3 linked regions of the Oryctolagus cuniculus genome follow. The protein of the gene in region 1 purifies or fractionates together with the protein of each later gene. This does not show direct contact. Links are inferred from orthologs where the notes say so. Each region holds a gene or a part of one and is shown on either strand. Other genes may lie near its edges.

Region 1 (3,642 bases):
AGCCAAGCCTCCTTCCTGTGTTGTTTGGCAACTTTGTGTCTTTTCCCGCTCAAGGACCGCCTGGGTGCAGAAGATCAAAGCTGCCTCTGAACTCTACATAGAGACGGAGAAGAAGAAGCGGGAGAAGGCTTACCTGGGTAACTCCCGCGGGCCGGGCTCTGGCCACGCTGCCGTGGGGCAGCCGTTTGGCCAGGCTCAGATCCCTTAGAGCTGGGACAGGCTCCTGGGGGCAGCGGGGAGGTCGTGAGATGGCTGGGCACAGGGTGCAGGCTGGGATGCTGGAGCACGGGTGGAGGGCGGGGCAGGTGTCCAGGCTAAGGGTGAAGCATCTGTGCATCTGTGCTATGTTTTTCCCTCTGCTGTTCCAGTGCGGTCCCAGAGGGCAACGGGCATTGGAAGGCTGATGGTGAACGTGGTAGAGGGCATTGAGCTGAAGCCCTGCCGGTCACACGGTGAGGACCTGCGCGGCCCCGGTGGCCCATGCGGCTGTTGCAGTCTTCCCTGGAGCTGTTCGCTCTGCTGTCCGGGAAGGTCCGCGTGGCTGCATTCACACCCAGTGGCTGTGGCACACTCGGAGCCTGCCTGGGAGGGCTCTGGTTCGTAAGCCCATGGATGCCCTGGTCGGTTCCCTGTCTGAAGCGTGGTGCTGAATTGTGTGTTTTCGCCCAGCTTCTCCATGTGAGGCCACGTAGGCCGCGTGGTGATGGAGCGGGATGAGTTGTGGCTCCCGCCCTGGTGAAGGGTTTTGTGCCTTCCAGGAAAGAGCAACCCCTACTGCGAGGTGACCATGGGCTCCCAGTGCCACATCACCAAGACGATCCAGGACACCCTGAACCCCAAGTGGAATTCCAACTGCCAGTTCTTCATCAGAGACCTGGAGCAGGAAGTCCTGTGCATCACCGTGTTCGAGAGGGACCAGTTCTCACCCGATGGTGAGTCGCGGGCGTGCCTCATAGCTCGCTGCTCCTTCCCCATCACTCAGCCTGTGCGGGCGGACGCCTCCTCTCCTGGGGATGCGATGCCCAGAGTGGCTTGGATTTCTCTCTCAAATGATGAGGCTGGCCCAAGATAAGGCTTTCATGCACAGCAGGTGCAGCCCGGTGCACAGACACAGTGTCCTTGTCTTGGATTTGCGTCACAGTCTTGGGCTGTCCAGAGCAGGTAGCTGCCAACAGGGGTGTACCTAGGAGTTTCAGTGTAGTTCTGTCATCCCTGGCACAAAGCCACGCTGATACGGAGCGGCTGGCACTTGGCGCTGTGGTGGTGATGTCACTTGGGACACCCACGTCCCATACTGGAGTGCCTGGTTCAAGGCCCAGCTCCTCTACTTCTGATCCGTCTTCTTGCCACTATGCAACCTGAGAGGCGGCAGAGGGTGGCTCAAGGACTTGGGTCCCTGCCACCCATGTGAGAGACCCAGATGGAGCTGCTGGCTTAGCCCTGGCTGCTGCAGGCATTTGGGGAGTGAACTAGTGGGTGGAAGCTCGCTCTCTCTCTCTGTCTCTCTTTCTGGCTGACTCTCTGTGTCTCCATGCATTTCAAATAAAATAAGAATATTTAATTTTTATTATTTTAAAACTGGCCAATGCTAATGGAGCAGAAGAGCCCATGACCATGGCAGTAGAAGCAATCTGTGCCCTTTTGGAAGGCACGGCTGCTTGGGCAAGGGGTTGCTTGAGCAAAATTGTGTTGGTTGCATCATTCTTTTAGCCAGCGTCTGTGCCTGCTTTACAATGGTCTCTGACCAGAGATTCTAAGAAACTGTCGCTCTCTGCCTCAACCCCATAGAAATTAGAGATTAAGCTTAAAGATTATGGCCTCAACTTGACTGTGAAGAAATACAAGTAACGAGAGTGAGGGCTTGGCTGGCGCCGCGGCTCACTAGGCTAATCCTCTGCCTGCGGCGCCGGCACACCGGGTTCTAGTCCTGGTTGGGGCGTCAGGTTCTGTCCCGGTTGCCCCTCTTCCTGTCCAGCTCTCTGCTGTGGCCCGGGAGGGCAGTGGAGGATGGCCCAAGTCCTTGGGCCCTGCACCCGCATGGGAGACCAGGAGAAGCACCTGGCTCCTGGCTTCAGATGGGTGCAGTGCGCTGGCCACTTGGTGGGTGAACCAACGGAGTAAGACCTTTCTCTCTGTCTCTCTGTGTTTCTCTCACTGTCTAACTCTGCCTGTCAAAAAAAAAAAAAAAAAAAAAAAAAAGAGTGAGGGCTTTAGGGCAGTGTTACCCCCTCAAGATTTAAAGGGCTCCATGCAGCCTTCCTCTCCTACTACCTTGTGTGAATTAGCTCATTGTGAGTTAGGTGCTGTTGGTTTTGGCCTAAAGATAGTCACAGAGCTGGTTAAATATTAATCATGTGGCCAGAACTCTCTGCCTCCCAAGTCAAGGCTCTTAACTTTTTTTTTTTTTTAAGATTTATTTATTTATTTGAAAGTCAGAGTTACACACAGAGAGAAGGAGAGGCAGAGAGAGAGAGAGGTCTTCCATCCGCTGGTTCACTCCCCAATTGGCTGCAACAGCCGGAGCTGCACCGATCTGAAACCAGGAACCAGGAGCTTCTCTGGGTCTCGCACACAGGGGCAGGGGCCCAAGGACTTGGCCCATCTTCTACTGCTTTCCCAGGCCATAGCAGAGATCAGAAGAGGAGCAGCCAGGACTTGAACTTGTGCCCATTTGGGATGCCGGCACTGCAGGCGGTGGCTTTACCTGCTTTGCCACAGCGCTGGCCCCAGGGCTCTTTATTCTGTTAAGTGGAAGCTTTTTGTTTGCTGCTGTTATATTAAAAATAATGACACATCGCAGGGAATAAGGTGGAGACCCCAGTGTTGGGCCTACCTAGCGCTCAGAGCGGAAGGAAGGCATAGCTTCTCTCGAGGAGACTGCGATGGCGGGTGCGCGCCTGGAGGAGAAGGGATTCTTGTGAGCACGGTGTGTTTGTCTCCTTTCAGATTTCTTGGGTCGAACAGAGATCCGTGTGGCTGACATCAAGAAAGACCAGGGCTCCAAGGGGCCAGTTACAAAGTGTCTCCTGCTGCACGAAGTCCCCACAGGAGAGATTGTGGTCCGCTTGGACTTACAGTTGTTTGATGAGCCGTAGGGAGCGGCTCAGCACGTGCTCGGAGGAGCTCCCACCTGAGGCAGCAGGTGCTGTCTGGCATTTGTGTTCCTTCGCTCGGCATCCCTGGCGTTCAGCCACAGGGCAATGGGACAGCAAAGACAGGCCCCCAGAGCGTCTAGGAATCCTTGACAATCCTGCCCCCACCCCAAACAACCTCTCCTGTTATGAAACGAGACTGTGTCTTCCTTGCCCCTCACCGCAGGTGTCATCATGGTTTCTAGGGTCTCTGAACTCCCAGAGCCCCCAGCTAACCTCAGCTGGGAGTCTGGCTCCGCCCAGGCTCTGGGCCCGGGTCTGATGATTAGAAATCAGATTTCTACATGCGGTGTCTGTATTTTTTTTTTTTTTTTTTGAGAACTCATGTAATCCTCTTATTTCTTACCTTCCTGCTGCCCCCAGTAGACTCCTTGGCCTGCAATGCCCAGTCCCCGGATGTTTAGAAACAATCGTGATGGTCCTGTCATTGCTTTGAAATCCCATTGCCCACCAGGGAGATGCTATGATGGTCTCACGGGAGCTGACCCAC
Region 2 (4,084 bases), on another chromosome or scaffold:
GAAGGTAGCAGCATGAATAAGTGTACATAGGATGTGTTATGTTTAAACTAGGTAGAACTAAGGCCTTCACTGATCACTTACTACAATGCTATGATCTAAGGATGTAGAAATATATAAAAAAAGTCTTTGCCATTAAGGAGTTCTTAATTGAGAGGGGTAGGCAGGTATAAATACTCATTAGGGTGATGATGGCTTCATCAGGTAAAGAAGGAAGTTTAAAAAGGAGAGAGGGAGAGAGAGAGAGATGAATGTTGGGCCTGTTAGTTAAGCTGTTGATTAGGATACCTAATGCCACATGAAAGTGCCTGGGTTCAATTCCTGGCTTCTGATTCCAGCTTCCTGCTAATACAAACACTGGGATGTGATGGCTTAAGTAGTTGGTTATCTGCCACCCATATGGAAGTCCTGGATTGAGTTCCTGGCATCCCCAATCCCTACTTTGCAGGCCTTTGGAGAGTGAGCCAGCAGATCAGAGCGCTCTCTCTCTCTCTCTCTGCCTCTCAAGTAAATAAAAATTTTAAAAAATTAAATAAAAAAGGAGAGAGAAGGGACTTTGCAAAGGAGGCAATACTTGAGTGTGTCCTGGGAAAGGAGGAGGAGTTTGCCAGGTGGACTACGTACTGGAGCCGTGAGCAGTGCTGCAGGCACCTGAGCAATCCAAGTGTGACAGGCAGCAGGCTAGGAAAGCCCTCCTTTACCTAAGTAAACTTTGGCTCCGGAGGGAACGATTTTTTTTTTTCAATATAATGGCAGATGCTTAAACCAAAGAAGGCAGAAATCTAATCAGCTGCACGACCTCCTGGCAGGCACTGATGTGTGTTTTAGTTCACTCATTCATATAATTCAAAAATAAAGCATCTAGTACAGGGCCTGGCATATACAAAGTGCTATTATTTTGTATCTTTACCTCATTTCGTCCTCACAGGCAGCCCGGACCGCGGGTAATTTCTGCCATGATTCAAAAGCAGGAGCTCAGAGCGGGTAGGTGACCGGCCTGAGGGTCACAGGACAATCTGGATTCCCCTTCGCAGCCCGTCCGCTTTAATTTATCCGCGCCGGGTTTTCTCAGGCCGGCCCGGGGGCAGGCCGGCTCTGGTCCGGCGGCTCGCACTCCAGCGCCAGGGTTTGGGCGCCGCCGCGGCCTGCTCGGGCCGGCGGGCCGGCGGGCGGGGCCAGGCGGGGCGGGGCGGGCGTGAGGAGGGAAGTTGTCGAAGTTAGGGGAGACGCCCGCCCGGGCCTCGCCTACGGCCGCTCCCTCCGCCTCCTCCCCGCCCCGAGCCCCCGGCCGCCCGTCCTTCCTTCCCCTCCCGTGCATGATGGAAACACCATGGCTGCGGCAGCCCAGCTCTCCCTGACACAGGTAACGCCGCCCGCCCGCCTGTCCTCCGGGCTCGGCCGGCCGGTGTCCCCGGCCCCCTCCCCCACCGCCCTGCGCTGGGCCGACCCGGGCAGCGTCTCTCGGCTCTCGGGCCGGACGGCCGGTGTGTCAGAGCGAGAGCGTGCGTGTGACTGAGGGAGGACGCCATCCCGAGCCGGAGCTCCGCCGGCTGCAGCCGCGGCCCCGCCCCGGGTCGGTCGGCGCCCCCGGCCCCACCCGGTGCGGCCGCTGAGTGGACGGTGCCCCCAGCCGCGCTCAGCCGGCGCGGGCCTCGCTCGCTCCGCTCGGCTTTCCCCCACCCGGAAAGTTTCCTCCTCCCAGGCCAGGTGAGCTCCTGTGGAGCTCGCGCGGGGCAGCGCCAGCCCCGGGTCGCACGAGGCTCGCCCTCTGGGCCGGGCGGCGCGCCTCCCCGAGTTGGGGGGGGGGCCTTCCGCGGCCGGACGCTCAGCCTGTTCAGGGGCAGGCTCCCCTCGCTAACCTGCCTTTCCCCACCGGAGTTCAGCGAAAGCCCTCCTTTGCCTGGCACTTTCCTGCACTCGGCTTCGCTTTCAAACTCTTCTTAGCCTCCCTCTCAGCTTTGCTCGCTCTCTTCCTGGATTCAGCCTCTTCCCTCCTGATCTGGTGTCCTGGGTCAGACCCCCGACTCCGTCGTTCCCTACCCAAGCCGGCTTCCACTCACACCCGGGGGTTCTCCTGATCGCTGTCCGAGCGGATAACAGGGAGCCACCCAGTAACAGGTGTGGTGGTTCCGCCTGGCGGGGTGCTCAGACCTGCCTGGGAGATCACTTGTCCTGGGCGGAAATTTTCACCAAAACCTGTACTCTGGTCGTTCCTCTTGCCTTCTTGCTGCCTTCGGAGCCCAGTCCTTGTGCTTCACAGAAAATCTGAACATCATTCACCGTGGGAACCTAGTTTCTCCCTCTCTGTAAAGGAAGCCAATTATTATCTTCCTGTTGTGGCCAGAATGACGAGGTGACAGACACCTGTCAGTCCCTTCCTGCTCCTCTGTTCAAAACTGGCCCGGATCTCACCTCTGCCTGTTCTCTCCAGAGCTGGTAGCTGTGTGCTTGCCAGCAGGGCCCACCCCAGCCTTCCTGCCATCTTGCAGTCTCCTGGGCCTAGGTTTGTCTATGCATCACAGGCTTTAACACTGGGGTGAAGGTACATTTGGACAGTAAAGTTTTCTGTATTGGGATCCGGAGGCTTGGGGTGTTCTCCTTAGCACTCCCCAGAACCTGCAGTCAAACGTGAGTGTGTGAAGTAACTAACTTTAGCTTGCAGGAATTCTAGGTCTCATAAGTGACACTCATTGCCGACTTCTATCAGATGTTGGTTATTCTGTTTCTGCAGGTGATAACAGGGCAGACTTCTTTTACCACGGAGTGTGGTGGTTTAATCTTGAATCTCTGTGGGAGGGTCCTCCTGAAACTCAAATTCGAGGCCTGGAAACACTGACTTGGGGTGTTGACTTTCTGTGAGTCTAGTTAGTGACTTGCATTAAACAAGATCCCTTGTTGGCAAGCTGTTTTTTTTGTGACCGAGTTGGCCAATTCTGGCAAGGCTTTTTCTCCTCTTGCAGATTTTCTTCTTTGAGCAACTTCTGTAAAGTGGCTTCTCAGCTGTGTGCATTTATTCTCTCCCTGGGTAATACTGTGTTTTTAGTTTCTGTTTACTATGGTTCATCTCTAGGGGTTTGCTTCAAGCTCTGTCATTTTTATAGTCACTTAAATAAATCACATATGTTCTTATGGCTATATATTTAGGTATTTACTTGTGCACTGACTAAATACTGAATCAGTAATTACCCTTCAAGGTTTTACAAATGAGAGAACATATATTGGTGGCTGACATTGATAACTCAAATGTCAATTTAGAATGTTTTGATTTTTTAGATACTAAGATAGTATATTATAGAAGCAAAGGAAAGAAGAACCTAATTTGTTACTATTTCTCAATATGCCTCATTATTTCAAAGCTTGGCAGATATATAGTTTTTAAGTTTAAAAAATTAAATTAATTTTAGTGCTTTTTTTTAACTTTTTTTTTTTGAACTCAGTAACAGAGATATCAGTGTGACCTCGTTTTGCATTCATAATTGATTTGTTTTACATCACCCTCTGTTTCAACTCACATACTTAGATATAGGCATAGTCAAGTGAGAGAGCTTTCAGGGAAGGGACATTTTAAAATTCATCTGAGTGCCTACCTGGAAGAAAGCCATTAATATAGCTATTGTATGAGTGACTGAAAATTAGGAAGATTAAACAGATAATGAAGTTAGTTTTTGTCTCTGGTCATGAGATAGTGATGGCTTTGGAGTAGGTTAATTCATTCAACAAATATATATTTAAATTATCTTCTTTTTACTATTTCTTGAGAGACGCAGAGCTCTCACCTGCTGGTTCATTCCCCCAAGTGCCCACAACAGCCAGGGCTGGACTGAACCAAAGCGGGATCCAGGAACCCAATCCGAGTCTCCCACTTTGGGTCCCAGAGAGCAACCACTTAAGTCATCACCATGGGGAGGCCAGGAGCCACACTAGTGAGAGGCTGGAGTCAAGAGCTGGAGCTGGGTATTGAACCCAGGGACACTGATACGGGATGTAGGTGTCTTAACTGCTAGGCTAAATACTTGTCTCAACAAATATTTTTCTTTATTTTTCTTAATATTTTATTTATTTGAAAAAGTTACAGAGAAGCAGAGGC
Region 3 (3,642 bases), on another chromosome or scaffold:
ACACCTGAGCACTTTTTTTTTAAAGGAAATGTGCGAAATTCTTTCTAAACTTGCCACAGAGTTAAAAAATTCTTCTACCTTGAGCTGTATAGGCAGAAAAGAAAAAGTAGTTAAAACTAGGAAAAAAGGGGTCGTGGCTCACTTGGTTAATCCTCCGCCTGCGGTGCCAGCACCCTATATGGGCACCGGGTTCTAGTCCCGGTTTGCTCCTCTTCCAGTCCAGCTCTCTGCTGTGGCCTGGGAAGGCAGTGGATGCTGGCCCAAGTATTTGGGCCCCTGCACCCACATGGGAGACCAGGAAGAAGCACGTGGCTCCTGGCTTCAGATCGGCGCAGCGCCGGCCGTAGCGGCCATTTGGGGAGTGAACCAATGGAAGGAAGACCTTTCTCTCTGTCTCTCTCGCTGTCTATAACTCTACCTGTCAAATAAATAAAGGGGGGGGGGCAGCACTGTGGCACAGCACTTAAAGCTGCCTCCTGCAGCGCTGGCATCCCATATGGTGTCCATTTGAGTCCCAGCGGCTCCACTTCCAATCCAGCTCTCTGCTGTGGCCTGGGAAAGCAGCAGAAAATGGCCCAGGTCCTTGGGCTCCTGCACATGCGTCAGAAACCCGGAAGAAGCTCCTGGCTCCTGGCTTCGGATCAGCGCAGTTCCAGCCACTGCAGCCATCTGGGGAGTGAACCAATGGATGGAAGACCTCTCTCTCTGTGTCTACCTCTGTCTCTCAAATAAATTAGTTAATTTAAAAAAATAGGAAAGATTGTGGGCATTCCACATCTGAGTGCCAGAGACTGAGGTCCGGGATCTTCCATTACCAACCCAGCTCCCTGCTAATGTGCTCGAGAGACAGCAGACATTGGCCCAAGTACTTGGGTTCCTGCCACACACATGGGAGACAGGGGTGGAGCTCCTGGCTCCTGGCTTCAGCCTGTCTCAGCTCTGGCTGTTGCAGACATTTGGGGAGTGAACTGGCAAGGCAGAAGATCTCTCCCTCAATCTCGGTCACTCTGCCTCTCAAGTTTAAAAAAGAAAAGAAAAGGAAAAAAAGAGCAGGAAAGAAAAGAAAAAGGATTGAAGACACAGAACTCCCACGCTGAGCACAATGGAGGGGCCGCTGGTCTGGGCTCCGGGCCCAGCTCTGCTCACCCCGGGACTCCACCGCGGTTTCAATTCTGAGCCTGCCTCCCCACCTGTGAAGTGGGCGTGCTCCTGTGCCTTCCCCCGGGACTGGACCTCATGTGGCCCTGGGCCAGCCTGGCTGTAGCAAGTGCTGGATCCCCCTGCACTCAGGAAGCCCTAGGGGCTCCAGGCTGGGCACCAAGCCAGGGCCTGGAGAGTGTCCTTGGGGAGGGAGAACAGTGATGACCCGGCATGGCGGTGGAGCAGACATGAAGGCACGGACCCCACGGCCACCTACCCTGCCCAGGACGTCAAGAGGTAGCTTAGAGTTCATGAGGACTGGCTTGACCTTGTCTCCAGAGAGCAAACCATTGATAGGTAAGAGGCTTTCAAAAATTCCATCAAACTTGGCCTTTTCTTCCACCTGGTTGGACAGAAAGAGCCAGCGTGAGTACAGGTGTGCCAGTACACAGGTCCATGTGCAGCCCTGACCCAAAGCTGAGAAAGCAGCCCGGCACCGGCCCTGGCCCGCGGCCACAGCACACGGTGCTCTTAGAGCAGTCTGGGCCCTTGGGCTCCAGAGTGAACTCTGACCTTGAAGGAAACAGCCCTCAGACAACCTCAGAGGAGCAGGAGCAGGAGCTGGCCCAGGCCTGCTGAGTGCGCTGGGGCCTCCCTGGGGGGAGGGGAGCTATCTTTCCAGGGAGACCACCTCCAAAGAGCTCACCACAATAAGAAAGACAAAAGCAGATAATTATCAAAGCCAACTGCAGGAGGCCCCCTGCCTCTAAGAGTAAAATCATAACAATCAAAGGGACATACAGACTGAAACAGCAGCTGCAGGGAGTGCATGGGCTGCTGGCCACAAGGGCCTGGGAGCAGACACCAGTGTACCCTCGGATGGAAGTGAGGCCCTGGGCAGGTGGACTGAGGGAGAGCAGAGAGCGCGGCAGACACTGGCCGCTGGCGGTGCTGAGAAAACCCCTACAATCGCCAAGGCTAAGGTCAAGTGTAGAAAACCCCTACAGTGAGCATCCAGCTGGCGAGCACGGAAATACAGCGCGGCCCACCCCCACTCTGGAAGGTTCTACAGACCTGCCACGATGTGGATGAACCTCAGGGGCAATGTGCTCAATCAACTCAGCTGGTCACAAGAGGCCAAATACAGGAGGACCCACTTCCTGAGACCCCCACGGTGGTCACACCCACAAAGACACAAGCAGAACAGGGGCGCGGGGGTAGAGGTGAGTGGGAGTGAGCATTTCATGGGTGCAGAGTTTCACCTGTGCAAGGTGAGAAGTTTCTGGAAAGGGATGGGGGGGTTGTACAAAAAGGCGGCGCTGACGGTTAACAGGCAGCCCTCTCGGAATGCCTGCGCTGGGGTCTGACTCCACGCTCATTCCAGCTCCCTGCTAATCTGTACCCCGGGGTACAGCAGGTGACGGCTCAAGGACTTGGGTCCCTGCACCTCTGTGGGAGACCCAGATGGAGCTCCTGGCTCCTGGCCTCAACCTGGCCCAGCCCTAGCAGGGGAAAAAGGTCTCCCTCTCTCTGCTTCTTTGCCTTTCAAATCAACAAAATTAATTTCTAAAAATTTTCTTAAAGGATTGAGAAGGTACATTTCATGTTATAAATATCTAACCAGAACTAAAACATTTTCAAGGAGAGAGAGTAAAAAAAAGAAAAAACAACAGAAACAAGAGCATGGGGGGGTGCCGGGCTCCCCCCACCCACCCGACGTGCTGACTCAGCGCTCCGAGCAGCCCAGGAATGCTGGCCGCAGAGGCCGGCGCCTGGCAGCTAGGCTGCTTTCTGCACGGCCTTCATGGGTGAGCGGAATGCCAACGCTTTCTCCCAACAGCACCCCCACTGCCCAGCCGGGGTCCCCGGCTCATCTCTGCAAGGCCTCAAAGCCCCTGCCAGGAAAGGACCGGACGCCTGCAGGAGCAGGATCTGGCAAAAGGCGTTCTGCAGAGTCCACACTGCGAGGCTGGACCACCGCGAGAGGAAGCCACGCGGCAGTGTGGTGGTCACCGCTGGCCCAGGGCCTGCACGGAGGCTGCTCATGACGCCTCGGCCCCAGGAAACCAAACTCTCTTCCCACCCCCTCCCTGCACAGATGTCACCACCACCCACCCCACGGGCTTTCTGAGGTGAGAACCAAGGGCCTGGGGGAGAGGGGGAGGTGCCTCTGTATTTCACAACCACAGCGAAGCCCAACAGGCACCAGGGCCTGCGCCGGCCCCTGAACACGAGGGGCGGGGCGAGGGGCTCGTCCCTCCAGGATAGCTCTGCACTTTCCAGCAGACGCTGCTCTTCTCGTTCTAGAAGAGGAACCCGACTGCAGCCACACAAACAAGAACGGATGCACCGCGAAGCTTTCCACAAAGCACACAGCGCCAGGAAGGAAGGCCCAAGAACGTGGGAGTGGGGCTGGGGAGGGGCTAGGCCCTCATGTTTGATTAACCAGCACCAGCACAAAACCACAAGCGAGACCCAGACCACAGCGTTCGGAGAAGCCCA

What was found.
Region 2: the proteins of ITSN1 (region 1) and EPS15 purify together in Homo sapiens (co-immunoprecipitation; 3 studies listed by BioGRID and IntAct, with this or other methods). This does not show direct contact. The link is inferred for Oryctolagus cuniculus from reciprocal best matches to the Homo sapiens genes ITSN1 and EPS15.
Region 3: the proteins of ITSN1 (region 1) and EPS15L1 purify together in Homo sapiens (affinity purification with mass spectrometry; 4 studies listed by BioGRID and IntAct, with this or other methods). This does not show direct contact. The link is inferred for Oryctolagus cuniculus from reciprocal best matches to the Homo sapiens genes ITSN1 and EPS15L1.

Annotation. Positions count from the first base shown.
Region 1 is NC_091435.1:11,143,050-11,146,691, reverse strand, and holds part of ITSN1 (intersectin-1), read left to right. Parts: intron 1-54; coding exon 55-137; intron 138-368; coding exon 369-452; intron 453-758; coding exon 759-932; intron 933-2,946; coding exon 2,947-3,095; 3' UTR 3,096-3,642. UniProt on the Homo sapiens protein: Adapter protein that provides a link between the endocytic membrane traffic and the actin assembly machinery. Acts as a guanine nucleotide exchange factor (GEF) for CDC42, and thereby stimulates actin nucleation mediated by WASL and the ARP2/3 complex.
Region 2 is NC_091438.1:121,418,461-121,422,544, forward strand, and holds the start of EPS15 (epidermal growth factor receptor substrate 15), read left to right. Parts: upstream 1-1,225; 5' UTR 1,226-1,327; coding exon 1,328-1,360; intron 1,361-2,957; exon of another isoform or gene 2,958-3,022; intron 3,023-4,084. UniProt on the Homo sapiens protein: Involved in cell growth regulation. May be involved in the regulation of mitogenic signals and control of cell proliferation. Involved in the internalization of ligand-inducible receptors of the receptor tyrosine kinase (RTK) type, in particular EGFR.
Region 3 is NC_091447.1:64,836,359-64,840,000, forward strand, and holds part of EPS15L1 (epidermal growth factor receptor substrate 15-like 1), read right to left. Parts: intron 1,544-3,642; coding exon 1,418-1,543; intron 1-1,417.